Caenorhabditis elegans: one gene and its partner. The protein of the gene in region 2 purifies or fractionates together with the protein of the main gene of each other region. This does not show direct contact. Each region holds a gene or a part of one and is shown on either strand. Other genes may lie near its edges. The genes, in order: unc-34 and nck-1.

Region 1 (5,029 bases), on a different chromosome or scaffold from region 2:
GGGGAAATCAAGAAATCGGAAAAAAAAAGTTCAGAAAATTGAATTTTTTCAACAAATTGAATTTTTGTTCATGTCGATGAAAAAACAAAAAAACAAAAATTTTAAGATACTTTTTGAAAAATCAAAACATTTTTCTACATAGCTGAAAAACGAAATTATAGGGGTTTTCAACTCAAAACTTCCTGGGCTTTTTCGGCCATTTCGTGTCTTCGTGCGCCTTTAAACTACAGTGTTTTTTTCAAACTTAAAAATTTGAATAAATATATTGCCCACGCAAATGTATATTGAACACACTGCATGTTTGCACTTTGTTCGTCATACAGAAAGTGAGACGACGACGACAATGAGTCATTCACTTTTTTATGACAATTCGAAATCTAATCTCTTGTGTCTCGAAGCGATTTCCTTAGAAGTTTTAATTTAAGAAACTACCTTTTATTGTTGTTTAAAAAACCATGATCCCCCCCCCGTGCAACTCGTTTCCGGAAACGGTCTCCATCAGCCTGTGTTTCGTCACTCTCACCCCTTCCCCATTTTTTGTTCCCACTCGGAAACTCTTTCTCTCTCTCGGGTTTCTCACTGTAACGATGGCCGGCACAACAGACAATGAATTTTGATATTTTTGTGTTTTCTGTTTGCACAGTTATTAGAGCATTTTCCATTTTTTTCGCGGGGTTTTCACAGTTTTTTTTGTTTGAAAATTAAAACAAAAATCATGAGTTCAATCAAAAATAATTATTTAGTTTTTCAATTATAAACGAATTTGGCAAATTTTTACAATGTTTTCCATTGATGGGCAATATTTTTTTAATGAAAAAAACCTACAAAAATACCAAAAATTTGAATCAAAAAAGTAATTTTTGATTCATTGCACACTTTTGAGCTCAAAGCAAAAACAGCACTTTTTTTTTCAAAAATTTTACCAAATTTTGAAAATAATTTTTTACGGATTTTTAGGTGTCAAAAAGTGTTTGAAAAAACCAAAATTTCTCAATTTTTGAAAAAAAATTGTTCAAAAAATATATTTTTTCGATTTTCAGAAATTTCTTTTTAAAAAAATCGATATCACACTTTGCTGAAAAAATATTTGCAAAATCTGTAAAAAAAAAATACAAAAAAACTTTTTTAAAACAAAATTTTTCCCAATTCTAGAAAAAAATCATTAATTCCGACCAACGAAAAATCGATAATTTTTCGATTTTTTTTCAAATAATTCCAAAAAAAATTTCTCGATTATCCTAAAAATCTTAAAAATCGATTTTTTTTAAATTGATTTTTTTAAAAATTTTCTAAAAAAAAATTTCCCGCTTTTTGAAAAAAATTCAAAAATTCTTTAACAAATGTTTTCTCCGATTTTCTGAAATTTTGAAAAAAAAACTAGATTTCTCGAAAAATAGCTTCAAATTTGTCCATTTTCCTCTTTTTTCCTCTTTTTAGAGATCAAAATGAACAAAATTTAATAAAAAGTTTAAACGATTTTTCCAAGGTTTTCCAGAAAATCGAAAATTCAATTTTCTGAAAAATCGATTTTTTCCCCTCCCCGAACATTTTTCCCTATAAATCTCGTTCTTTTTTTCGTCATAAAAAATGCATATTTTTCTGTTTTTTCCCTTCTCACATTCTCATTTTTCAGCCAAACCTCCACCAAAAAACTTCAAAATTTTTGCCGTTGCATTTCGAATGCGTGAAACACTGACCGATTGCTGTTGCTGCTGCTGTTGACAAGACACAAAATCTGCCGTAAAAGTGCACTTTTTTGAGCAAAAAGAGCAAAAGGAGATTAGATTGCACTTTTTTGAGCCAGAATGAGGTAATAATGACTATGGAGATGGGGAACTTTTTATGGGAAAATTTGAAAAAAAATTGAAAAAAAAAACCAAAAAATTGGCCTAAAAATTGCAAAAGTTCGGCCACGAGCTTGTGTCGATTTACGCAGCTCGTGTACTTCCCGAGGAAAAGTGTGAATTTTATGTTTTAGGCCAGTTTTTGGCGCTAAAATACTTGATTTTTGACCATTTTCGCTAAATTTTGATCGTTTTCACGTATTTTCGTTGTTTTCAGCATAAAATTATAAAAATTTTGAACAAAATACTATGAGTTATTGATAAAATCGCGAATTGAGTGTAAAAAAAATTTTCAAAAATCGATATTCTCCTCGTGGAGTACACGAGCTCCGTAAATCGACACAGAGGAGCATTTTTTTTCAGAAAAAAATTTGCATGCTCCTCGGGGAGTACACGAGTTATAAAATTTATTTGCCAATTTTTTCGTGCTGGGACCTAATAGGAATGCTCCTTTGAATGCAGACAATTGAAAAAAAACTGTTTTTAGCAGAATTCCCTTCAAAATGAAACCAACGACCAATCAGCGATTCGCACCGCCCACTTTCTAACCAATCAGTAGCTACAAGCATTCTGATTGGTTCAAAAGTGGGCGGAGCGGTTCGCTGATTGGTCGCTGTTCTCATTTTGAAGGGAATTCAGTTTGAGACTATTTTGGGGTTTTTTGAAGCGAAATTTTCATTCACGCTACTCTCCGCACGGATTTCTGGCTTCCCTCATAAATTGAAATGGAAGAGTTTTCCGAACTAGGCCATTTTGGCTCGGCCATATCTGGGGTAGATTTACGGCGCGTTGCGTGTCTCGTTGCGGCTCGATTTTAGTTGTAAAGCTAAATGTATTTGTCCGTGTGGAGTACACGACACTTTTCCACGCGTTGTCCGGCGGACGATTGTCAATGTAGCGCGAAAAATTCAATGAGCAAGGCCAGAACCCCCGTGTCTCCGCGATCTACCACCCAGCAAAAATCCATTTTTTGACTGATTCACAGCGTCTGACTGTAATGTTGACACTGAAGCTCTCTAATGTTTTTTTTGTGTGTGTGTGAGGTGATGCTGTGTGTTCCTATTTGCACAAATACCTAGTGTCCAGCAGAAGGAAGAGAACTGGATGAGCAGTGAAAAGAGCCCGTGCCAATTGCTGCCACTTATCATGTCCGGCTCGACCTCCGAGAGAGGGACGAGACTAAAATTAAATGAAATGAGAAACAATAAAAATTGAGTGGAAATTTAGAGAGTGATTGGATTTTTTTTGTAAAGTGGTGTAGTCGATTTTTTTTTATTGCTTTATTAGACTCAAATGTTTGTTTGAAAACACCGATTTTTTAAATGAAACTTCTTGAAAACTTCTCCAAAAAAAAAGTTATGACCGCTCGAAAAATGACCTAAAATTAGTTGAAATTTGAAATTTGAAAAATGCCGCAGCGGCTGGAAACAATATTTTGGAAAACTCCCGACTTTATTATACCTAAATGAAGTTGAAAATGCAAGATAATTGAATTGCATACTCAAAATTTGAAGGTGATTTCGAAAAAGTTAGTTTCCAGTCGCTGTGACAAGTCAAATTTCGAATTTCAACTAATTTTAGGTCACTTTTCAAGCCGCCATAACTTTTTTTTGAGAAGTTTCATTATAAAATTCGGTGTTTTCAAACAATTTTGAGTCTAATAAAGCAATAACAAATTTCGTCTGCAACACCACCTTTAATCAGATACCATTATTTAAAGTTTCGAAAATCTAGTAGGTTCGCATATATAAGTGGTCGGTTCTATTACATCTGAAAGAGCTCAAAATTCGCAACTTGTGCAAAAAGTTGATCCGAACCTTTTTTAAAAGATGACAAAAATCTCATTTTTTACCTTCTTCAATTTCGCCAACTTTCGAATTATCGAAAATATTCTCAAATTCCCTGAGAATGTCATATTATTAAATTGCGAGTGAAAAAAGTTACAATTCCACAAAAACCGCATTTACTATGATGATAGAAATTACTTTTTCACACTTTTTACCTCGATATTAGTCGAATTGCCAAACATTTTCGATTTCCGGCCACCGAAAAAAAACCAACTTTTTCTTGTCATTTTTGAAACAAGTATATTTTGAAAAAATGATTTTTAGTGCAATCATATTACATGTGCACGAAATTCGGAGAATGCGTAGTTTTTGTGTCGATATACGAGCTCGGTTCGATAAATCAATTAGTTTCGAGCCCGTAAATCGACACAAGCGCTACAGTAGTAATTAAAAAAATTACTGTGGTTTTCGGTACGAGATTTTTTGCGCGTCAAATATGTTGTGTAATACGCATTCTCAGAACTTAGTTTCATTTTTTCCCACCAAAAAATTCAAATTTTCCAGTAGCGAAGCATGTATCGCGACGGCAATGGCCCGAGTGATGACCTACAACGAATCGACAAAAGGATGGGTACTACTCGGCGGAAATGATGATTCAATGACAAATGTTCGCCTAATCCAAGACATTCGGCGACCCGAGTTTCGGATTGTATCCAACCGCGCTGACAGCACGAATATCTTGAATTGTAATATTTATCGAGGAATCAAATATCACAAGGCCACACCAATGTTTCATCAATGGCGTACCGAACAGCGGCGGGTGTATGGGCTGAATTTCGAGAATGAACAGGATGCGACAATGTTTTTAAGCATTGTGTTACAGGCGATTGAGACGTTGAAAGTTCATGATATGAATGGAATTAGTGATTATCAACAGATGCATCGTGCGTTTTTCAAATATAGCTTTCACACGACAAAAATCCCAAGATATAAAAAAACCTAACCAGAGATAAAAATCGAAAATAAAAAATTATCGATTTTCCGGAAAAACGAAGCATCATAACATTGTATAAAATTTATGTTTAGTTTTCATCAGAAACACATCAGAAAACGTATAATTTTTTTGCTCATTTTTCTACAATTTTTAATTTTCCGACACTACTTGAATAACCCCATAAATTATCAAAAAATCATCAAAAATATACAAAAAATACCCAAAAATATCGAAACTGTCAAGTGACTTTTTCAATAGAAAATGGGGTGCAGCACTATTTTTTGGACATTTTTTGAATGCAGCACTATTAGAGACTGCAGTACTACTGGATATGCAGCACTATTAGAGAATATACGGTATATATTTATTTATTTATTTATTTATGGTCTCCAAAAAACAAAAAG
Region 2 (7,448 bases):
CAACAGCCTTTAATGACGGAGAAAACGTTGATACAAACACACGCGTAGTTACTTTTTGCCTTATGTTATAAAAAAGAAAATCTCAATTTGAGAATATTCTAAAAAAAATGTTCAGTTAGAGATAATACCAATACTTGAATTTTGAGTTAAAACTGTCGAATTGCCATATTTGCCGAACATCTAAAAAACGCTACCAACTATAAATATAAAACATTATAAAATTAATAATATAAACAATAAAACTACCACCTATTAATTTTCAATTTTTTTTGCCGATTAACAAATTAGCTTGTTTGCAAATTTACAAGTTTGCTACCACAAAATAATTTGAGATGAATTGCCAGTTTACAATTAAAACCACAATCAAATAAAAGTTATTAACCTTGTTTTCAAAAATTTAAACCGCTAGAAAAATGTTGGTAAATTTGTTTAAAAGTTTTATTTCAAAATGTGTTAATTAAAATTTTGGCAAATTTAAGAAATGTAAAGCATTTCCACAGTTTCAGACCGCTACAAAGTAAAAAATTGTTAAAAGCTTTTTTGGTCAATTTTTTAAATTATAATTGGCAAAAAAACTCCAATTTTGAATTTATGATAAATTTAAAATTTTAACAACAAAAATGTGAAGAATTTCGGATACTCTAAAAAATATTTATAAAAACCTTCAATAATGTCATGTTTCATTTCACATCCGGAAATCGCGTTGTACAAAAATTGAAACCTGAAAAATTGTAACAATTAAAAAAATCTGAAATATGCCCACTTGAAAATTCATTTACAGTTATCACATATGGCAATTGGAATTGAAAATAATATTCTGAAACAACGCAGCGTTGTGAAGTGGAGCAAAAGACAATTGAAGAAGAGATGAATGGAAAGTGTGAGTTAAGGACAATTATTTGATAAAATTACAAACTTGAATGAAAAGAAAAAGAACCAAAGAAAAAATGAGAAATATATCTGAAACCGTGATCAACCGTTCAATTTATCAAAAACGGCGGATGGCAAATCAGTAAACATATCTAAACACAGGGCTAGTGATAGAAATGACGAAAGAGATTTTCACTTGCTTTGTCCAGAAAAAAAATGGATTGCTGCAAAGAAGACAAGAAAACAACAATTGTTAAGAATGAGCTTATAAGAATATTGCATTGAAATTTTGAACAAGTAGTTTACTTGGGAAGAGGACCGGTCAAAAACAGCTTCTCCGTTGGCGACGAGAAAATTGGGCTGGTTGTGTAGTGATTGATAAGAGCATTCATGTCCACAAACGTTCGGTTTCCAATTTTCAGGAGACCATCCACGTTTTGCACTTTGAAATGCTTGTTGCGTTCGATTCCGCGCATTGAGATCGACAAGTCTCCAGGCTGAAAAAAATTGAATTTAATATTAAATGGTTGAAAATATCCATTTTTGGTATTGTCTTCCTAGCAATATTCAAATGGGATACTGTCAATGAAGATTGATTTTAATTTAGATTGTATTCTGATCAGAATGAAAGCGTATTAACTGTAATATATAGTTTGGAGTGAAAATGTTCAAATCAAACGCTAGAACGTTTTTTTTTCCTTTGCGGTCCTTGATTTTGGTAATTAATTTCGTAGTATCTCGGTCATTTGCTGCCATTTTTAAACTAATTGTAGCCTCTTGCCAGCCTTCATTCTTTTGGATTTTTTTTGCACTAAGTTTAAAATAAAACTAAATTTAACAACTTCTTAAACAACTTGAATCTCCTTATTCGTCGATTTTAGTTTTAAAACCAATATTAGCAACTTTGTGACTATACTTCACCAACTTTGGCAACTGTTTGAACAACTTTAGTATCCCACAACTTCTCAACCAACTTTTGCAACTTCTGAAATTGGCATTTCTAAAGTTGCTAGGAATGGTTGAAAGCTTGCGACTATTTGGAAAGACACCGTTTGAAAAATTCCAAAAAATGCTCACATTGCTCTCCGAATCTCTGACCAGAAACTCTCCCTCACGACCATGTAGTAGAAGATCTTCAGCACGTTCCCTCGAGATGCGTCCAAAATACCACGGCTGTTGCTCCATCGGAATTTCTCCGTTTCCTGAATATTGCGGTGCGAAATCTTGATGTGAAGCTTTGCTGGATGATGAGTCGTTGACCACCTGAAATGTTCTAATTGTTTCAGATTCGGGCAATTTTTCTCGGAATTTTTAGGCGATTAAATGCACTACCTCAATGTAATTTCTTGGCACAAGCCCTGTGGTTCCACTGGCGTTGCGCGCCATCCACCAATCGGGGTCATGTTCTGGATGATCCACGATTTCGAGCCGTTCTCCTTTTTTGAACGATAGTTCTTCAGATGATGATGCGTCGAACGAGTACAATGCAACGACGACCTGAATCTATGAAAATGATTATTAAATTGCATTGGGGTAAATCCTACTTCAAATGAAGACCGTGACGCCTGGAGCTTCGGCGGTGGTGCTTGCATCATTATGGGCGCTGGAACTGCTGCAGCTGCTGGGTTTCGGTTCTCAATGCTTCCCTGATTTCCGTTTGTCGAAGCTTCAACTTCCTCCACATAGTTTGACGGGAACCATCCGACTCCTCCATTCGGTGCTTCTCCCTTCCACCACCCATCTGTGCTTTTCTCGACGACATAAACGAAATCTCCTTTTGTGAGACCGAGCTCATCTTCAAGTCTTGGCTCGTAAGTGAATTTCACCACAGCTTTCGTTTTCGAGCTCATCATAGGAATCTGAAGAAAAAAACGTTGGCGGATTAAAATAAGTTATGATTGAAAAGCCTGTCAAACCTTATTGGATGATGGTGTCACCGCACAGTTGTTATTCAAGCTGAACGCTAGACGCGCGATGCCGTTTAATCGCTCCTCCTGAAAAATCAATTTCAACAACAAAAAAAGTACTAAAATTAGAGATTTTCGCTTAAATTGAGCTTTTTTTCAAAATTTTGAAGCGCCATAGAAATTTTAAAACCATTTTTCTCATTACGAAATTTGTTCATCTGGAGTCTAAAAAATTTCAATTTTCCAAAATTTCCAAAAAAATAAAATTTTCACTTTAAATAAATTGACTTTATAAAAAATGTAGAGTTCTAACACAAAAGAAATAGTGTATCGTTATGTGAAATCTCTTTTTTTTTTGGCTTACATTAGAAAATATACTATCCTAATCAAAAAGCCTCAAAATTCAAAAATAAAATTTTCACTTCAAATAAATTTATTTAAAAAAAATGTAGGGCTCTAACACAAGTATTAAGTTCGGCAAGTTAGAGGGACGACGCAGATGTTTATTGCAAGGAGGTCTTATGGCACGAGAAAAATCGATAAGGAAGTGCTCTTCCCGCCTAGAAAGCTCACAGTTTAATTAGAAACGTGATCTTAAACGGCGAAAAAAAAAACAAATTTGATGAAGCCGGAAATTCCAAGTTTTTTTTTGGAGGCGCTACGTGGCCAGTAGCAGCAGCACAGACTCAACCCGCTACCTTCAGTCAGAAATGCAAACAAAGTGAGCGGTTGAGCTCGTAGGCAATGTGCATGCAGCGCCCCACACATCGAAACACGATTTTGGTTAGGGGGTGAAGAGCGGGAGGGGCCCTCAGGCGATTGAAACGTATCGTCAAGACGGAAAAACATAGGAAGCGTTGAAATTTCGCGCGCTCTTGTATACCGAGACTGTCTCATTTGCGCCGAATACATTGTCGCGGGAGAGCCGTATGTATGTGTGTGTGTGTGATAACAGGGCAATGATAGTATGCGCCGCTTGCACACACATGCAAATATTAACGGTTTCGGTCATTTATTACGGAGTTTTTGCCTCACAAAGTTCAGCATATTTCGATTCGAAAATATGATTCGAAAAATTGAGCGTGCCGTTTTGATATTGAGAAGAAGAAAAGCAAAAAAAGTATTTTATGTGGAGGAAGGAAAACGCAAAAAACAGACGAACCTGTCAAAACGGCGAGGAGAACGGGAGAACGCGCGGCGAGGTCTTTTTGGACGGTCTCGAGCAATCAATAATCCTGGGAAAACAGGGGAAGAAGAGTTTGTTAGTTCAGACGATGCGCAGTATCTTACGCGCAAAACACTCAATTAGTTATTGTGGTGATGACAAAATCATTTTTTACTAGAATTTGGGCTATTATATCAATTTTTAATGGAAGCTACAATATTTAAAATAATTAACTTTAAATTTGTAAATGCTATTAGTTAGTTTCATAAAAATTGCAATAAAAAAACCGACAACGAGAAATATTCCTGCCCCAATATGACAAATCATTCTAGAAACTTTTATGGCATTACAAACGGAGCAAAAAATCGATTTTGTTTGCTGTATGATAAGGAAACAAAACTGGAATGTTCTGGGAAGAAAGTTAGTATATCAAAACTAGTTTTAATGTACCTTAAAATTAAAAGAAATAAAGTATCTGTTGGCAATTCTAATTAGAAGTTAATTCAAACTGTTGCTTTCGGCTGGAAGCGCTTGTGTAAATACAAATCTTCCACGTGAAGACTGGTTTTGGCATTTGGAAACAAAAAAAAACTGAGAGTGCGACATTACAGTCGATTATGTTTCGTTTAGTTGTGGCGGCAGTTTGGCGCTTTTTTTGGAAGTGAGATGGGTTTTTGTAACAAAAAAAAACAAAACGAAACACTCACCGGCTCCGGATCTGAGGATCGGTTGCGACCTCGCGCTAAGCCCTTGATTGTTCCTTTTGCTTTGTCCACAATTGATTCTTTTCGCACGTAGTTTGAAGGCACAAATCCAACACTGTTTGAATCGTTCATTACCTGAAGAAAACGGTTTTGATCCGAGGGAAAACAACGTTAAGTGGCTCAATTTATTTTTAAAAAAATTAAGGTTTGTAGAACACTTTTTGATTAGTAGTTTTGCTAATTGGTACCAGGATTTTTTTTTGAGATGTGGAGCAATGTCAGTGCAAGCTTTGTTTAAATGTTGCTAAAATGACCAACAATCATAATGAAACTCTTCAGAATTGTTTTTTGAAATATTTTAATGTGCAGTCAATGTGCAAAATATGGTCGACCAAAACGTTGACTGAAAATTTTGAAAAAATTATAAATTTTTCTGGATGTTTAATGAAAAGAGAAAATTGTAAATTTATATATGATGCTAAAATAACCAAATATTATAGAAAACTGTTCAAAAAATTTTGGAACATTTTTATTTCGAGTCAAAAAGTGGTGAGAACTTACTAATATGTAGATTTCCCCAAAAAGTCGTTGATTAAAATAAATTTCTCTTATTTTAATGTTCTAATTATGCTTAAAACATTAAAATTTCAATATAGCAGGGAATTGAACATGCGACAGTGTTTTAGAGTTCTCGAAAAGTGGATCAAACTGTTTTCACATTTAACCATTAGTTTCAGTATGTTTTCCGTCAATAAAAACTCACTTTCCACCAGTTTTTGCTATCATCTAACAGCTTTAACCGTTCGTTCTTTTTTATCGTCAACTCCTGTTCCTCTTGTGCTAAATAATCGTATTTGACGACCACATAGTCCTCCGACATTTCAAATGTCCGATGTAATACACCCTGTAAAGTGGTTTGGTGAGAAAAATTGCGAATCCATAGCAAAAAACCGAGGAGAACAAGTGGGAAAATGAAATGAATAGGGGATGGATACGCAACTCGTAATTGACGTCGTCTATTCTACCTCCTCACTACACCTACACCTGATAAAATCAACATTAGTGAGCGGAAAAAAGAAAAAGAAGGCGCACTGACGACGTACGCCACATTTTTCTAGGATATATCGGTCAATGTCAATCTGTTCAGAAGTCAGTTAGGCTGTTGGATGTTGGTAGGTCAAAGCGTGTCATGAACGGGTTCCGGAAAGTTTTTTTATTGATTCGAAAGTTATGAAAAATATTAAACTTATAGTTAGTATCAAAAATCTTTTTTTTTTCAGATTAGCACACAGCCGTATCAAGTATGACAAAAAAAGAAGAATGAAAAAGGTGAGATGTGAATAATAAGTAGCATAACGCGGGCAGCATTGCCTATTCAATAATACTATTTTATGGAGTTAGCAAACACATGAATATAGTCATAAAAAGTTGGCGAGGTAAGCAGGATTTTGTTAGAAGGCGTCAAGCGAGAAAATAACTGCAGTAGTTGGGCAGATGTACTTATGAGTCAGGATGCCTTTGAATTTTTCAGCAAGACGGGTGCACTTTCGAATGGCTCAATGGGAAAATGGAAATAATTCAGATGCCTGGCTTTGGCATATAATTACTTCCAGCCAAAGTACCAATAGGAAACCCCACATTTCCTCTGAAAGTGCAAAATCAGGTTTCAGGCAAATTTTATTTGCGCCTGTAAGCATTTCCAAATGGGGAAAATCACGCAAATGGGGAAAGTTTTAGTTAGGATTGTAAGGCCTTTATTGAAAATATATTGATACTTCTGGATTTAATGTTACCCCCAAAAGTGCTAAAGTTAAGTTGTTATATATTTTTCAGACCTCTTTTTCCTACAAATCTAGAATAACTTTTTTCAAGCTCTGGAAATATGATGAAAGTTTTAATTTGAAATTAATTTTTTTAGGGTCTCCTACAAACTTATATACTTATATACCGTTTTTAATTTAAATTTTGATTTTTTGATACTTGGTTGAATTATATTATAAAAGAAAATGCCTTATAATATACCTGCTTGTCGAAAAAGAATACCCATCGTAGTTCAATATGGCCTAGAATTTTTAGAATTTTTAAAATTTCAGTCAACACATTAAACTGCCACACTTAGAAAAAGAACAACAGGAGCGTTTGAATACATTTCTTACTGACGAGACTCCAAATTGTATTAAATTCCACAATTAAGTAATTTTAGAAATACAGATTTTCATATTAAAATTTTAATTTTTTGGAATTTTCCTTTTCAAACCAGAAACGTAATTGACTATGCTCCATTTTGCAAAAGAAGAAAAGAAGAAAAAAAGAAACAAAAAGCAGAGGAAAAACAACCGACAATTGTAGGCAACAATTGTTGGAAGAGCCCCATCGTTTTCTTCGTAGCACACACACACACACACACACACACACACACACACATTTTCGGACAGGACAAGAGTCAATGACAAATGATGGGAATTTTCGGTTTTGAATGGGGGCCAACAGGGGCCGAAATAATGCATTGGAATGCGGAGAAAAGAGAGAAAAGATTGAAGACGGATTGCCAAAATAATGTGCGGAAAATTTGCGAATCTGGCTCAAATCTCAGACTGGAACGACGAGATGGTTTGTGGGGGGATAGATGAAGGATTTACTTGGGAATTGAAAATAACAACAAGATGATCCTTTAAGGGACACTTAGCAATCTGGTCATCGGAGAATAAATATCTAGGGGGGCCCCCCGTCACCAACCAGCGCGGGTATTAGCAGCAGCTGAAGACGAAGAAAAGTAGAAGAAGTGGACGGAGGGACACAACA

The links.
Region 1: the proteins of nck-1 (region 2) and unc-34 purify together in Caenorhabditis elegans (affinity purification with western blotting, with the first as the bait; one study listed by BioGRID). This does not show direct contact.

The regions. Positions count from the first base shown.
Region 1 is NC_003283.11:980,901-985,929, forward strand, and holds the start of unc-34 (WH1 domain-containing protein), read left to right. Parts: upstream 1-1,805; coding exon 1,806-1,810; intron 1,811-1,910; exon of another isoform or gene 1,911-2,006; intron 2,007-4,195; coding exon 4,196-4,575; intron 4,576-5,029.
Region 2 is NC_003284.9:4,147,894-4,155,341, forward strand, and holds nck-1 (NCK (Non-Catalytic region of tyrosine Kinase) adaptor protein family), read right to left. Parts: upstream 5,551-7,448; 5' UTR 5,527-5,550; coding exon 5,410-5,526; intron 4,782-5,409; coding exon 4,650-4,781; intron 2,865-4,649; coding exon 2,787-2,864; intron 2,730-2,786; coding exon 2,415-2,729; intron 2,374-2,414; coding exon 2,203-2,373; intron 2,134-2,202; coding exon 1,948-2,133; intron 1,368-1,947; coding exon 1,173-1,367; 3' UTR 760-1,172; downstream 1-759.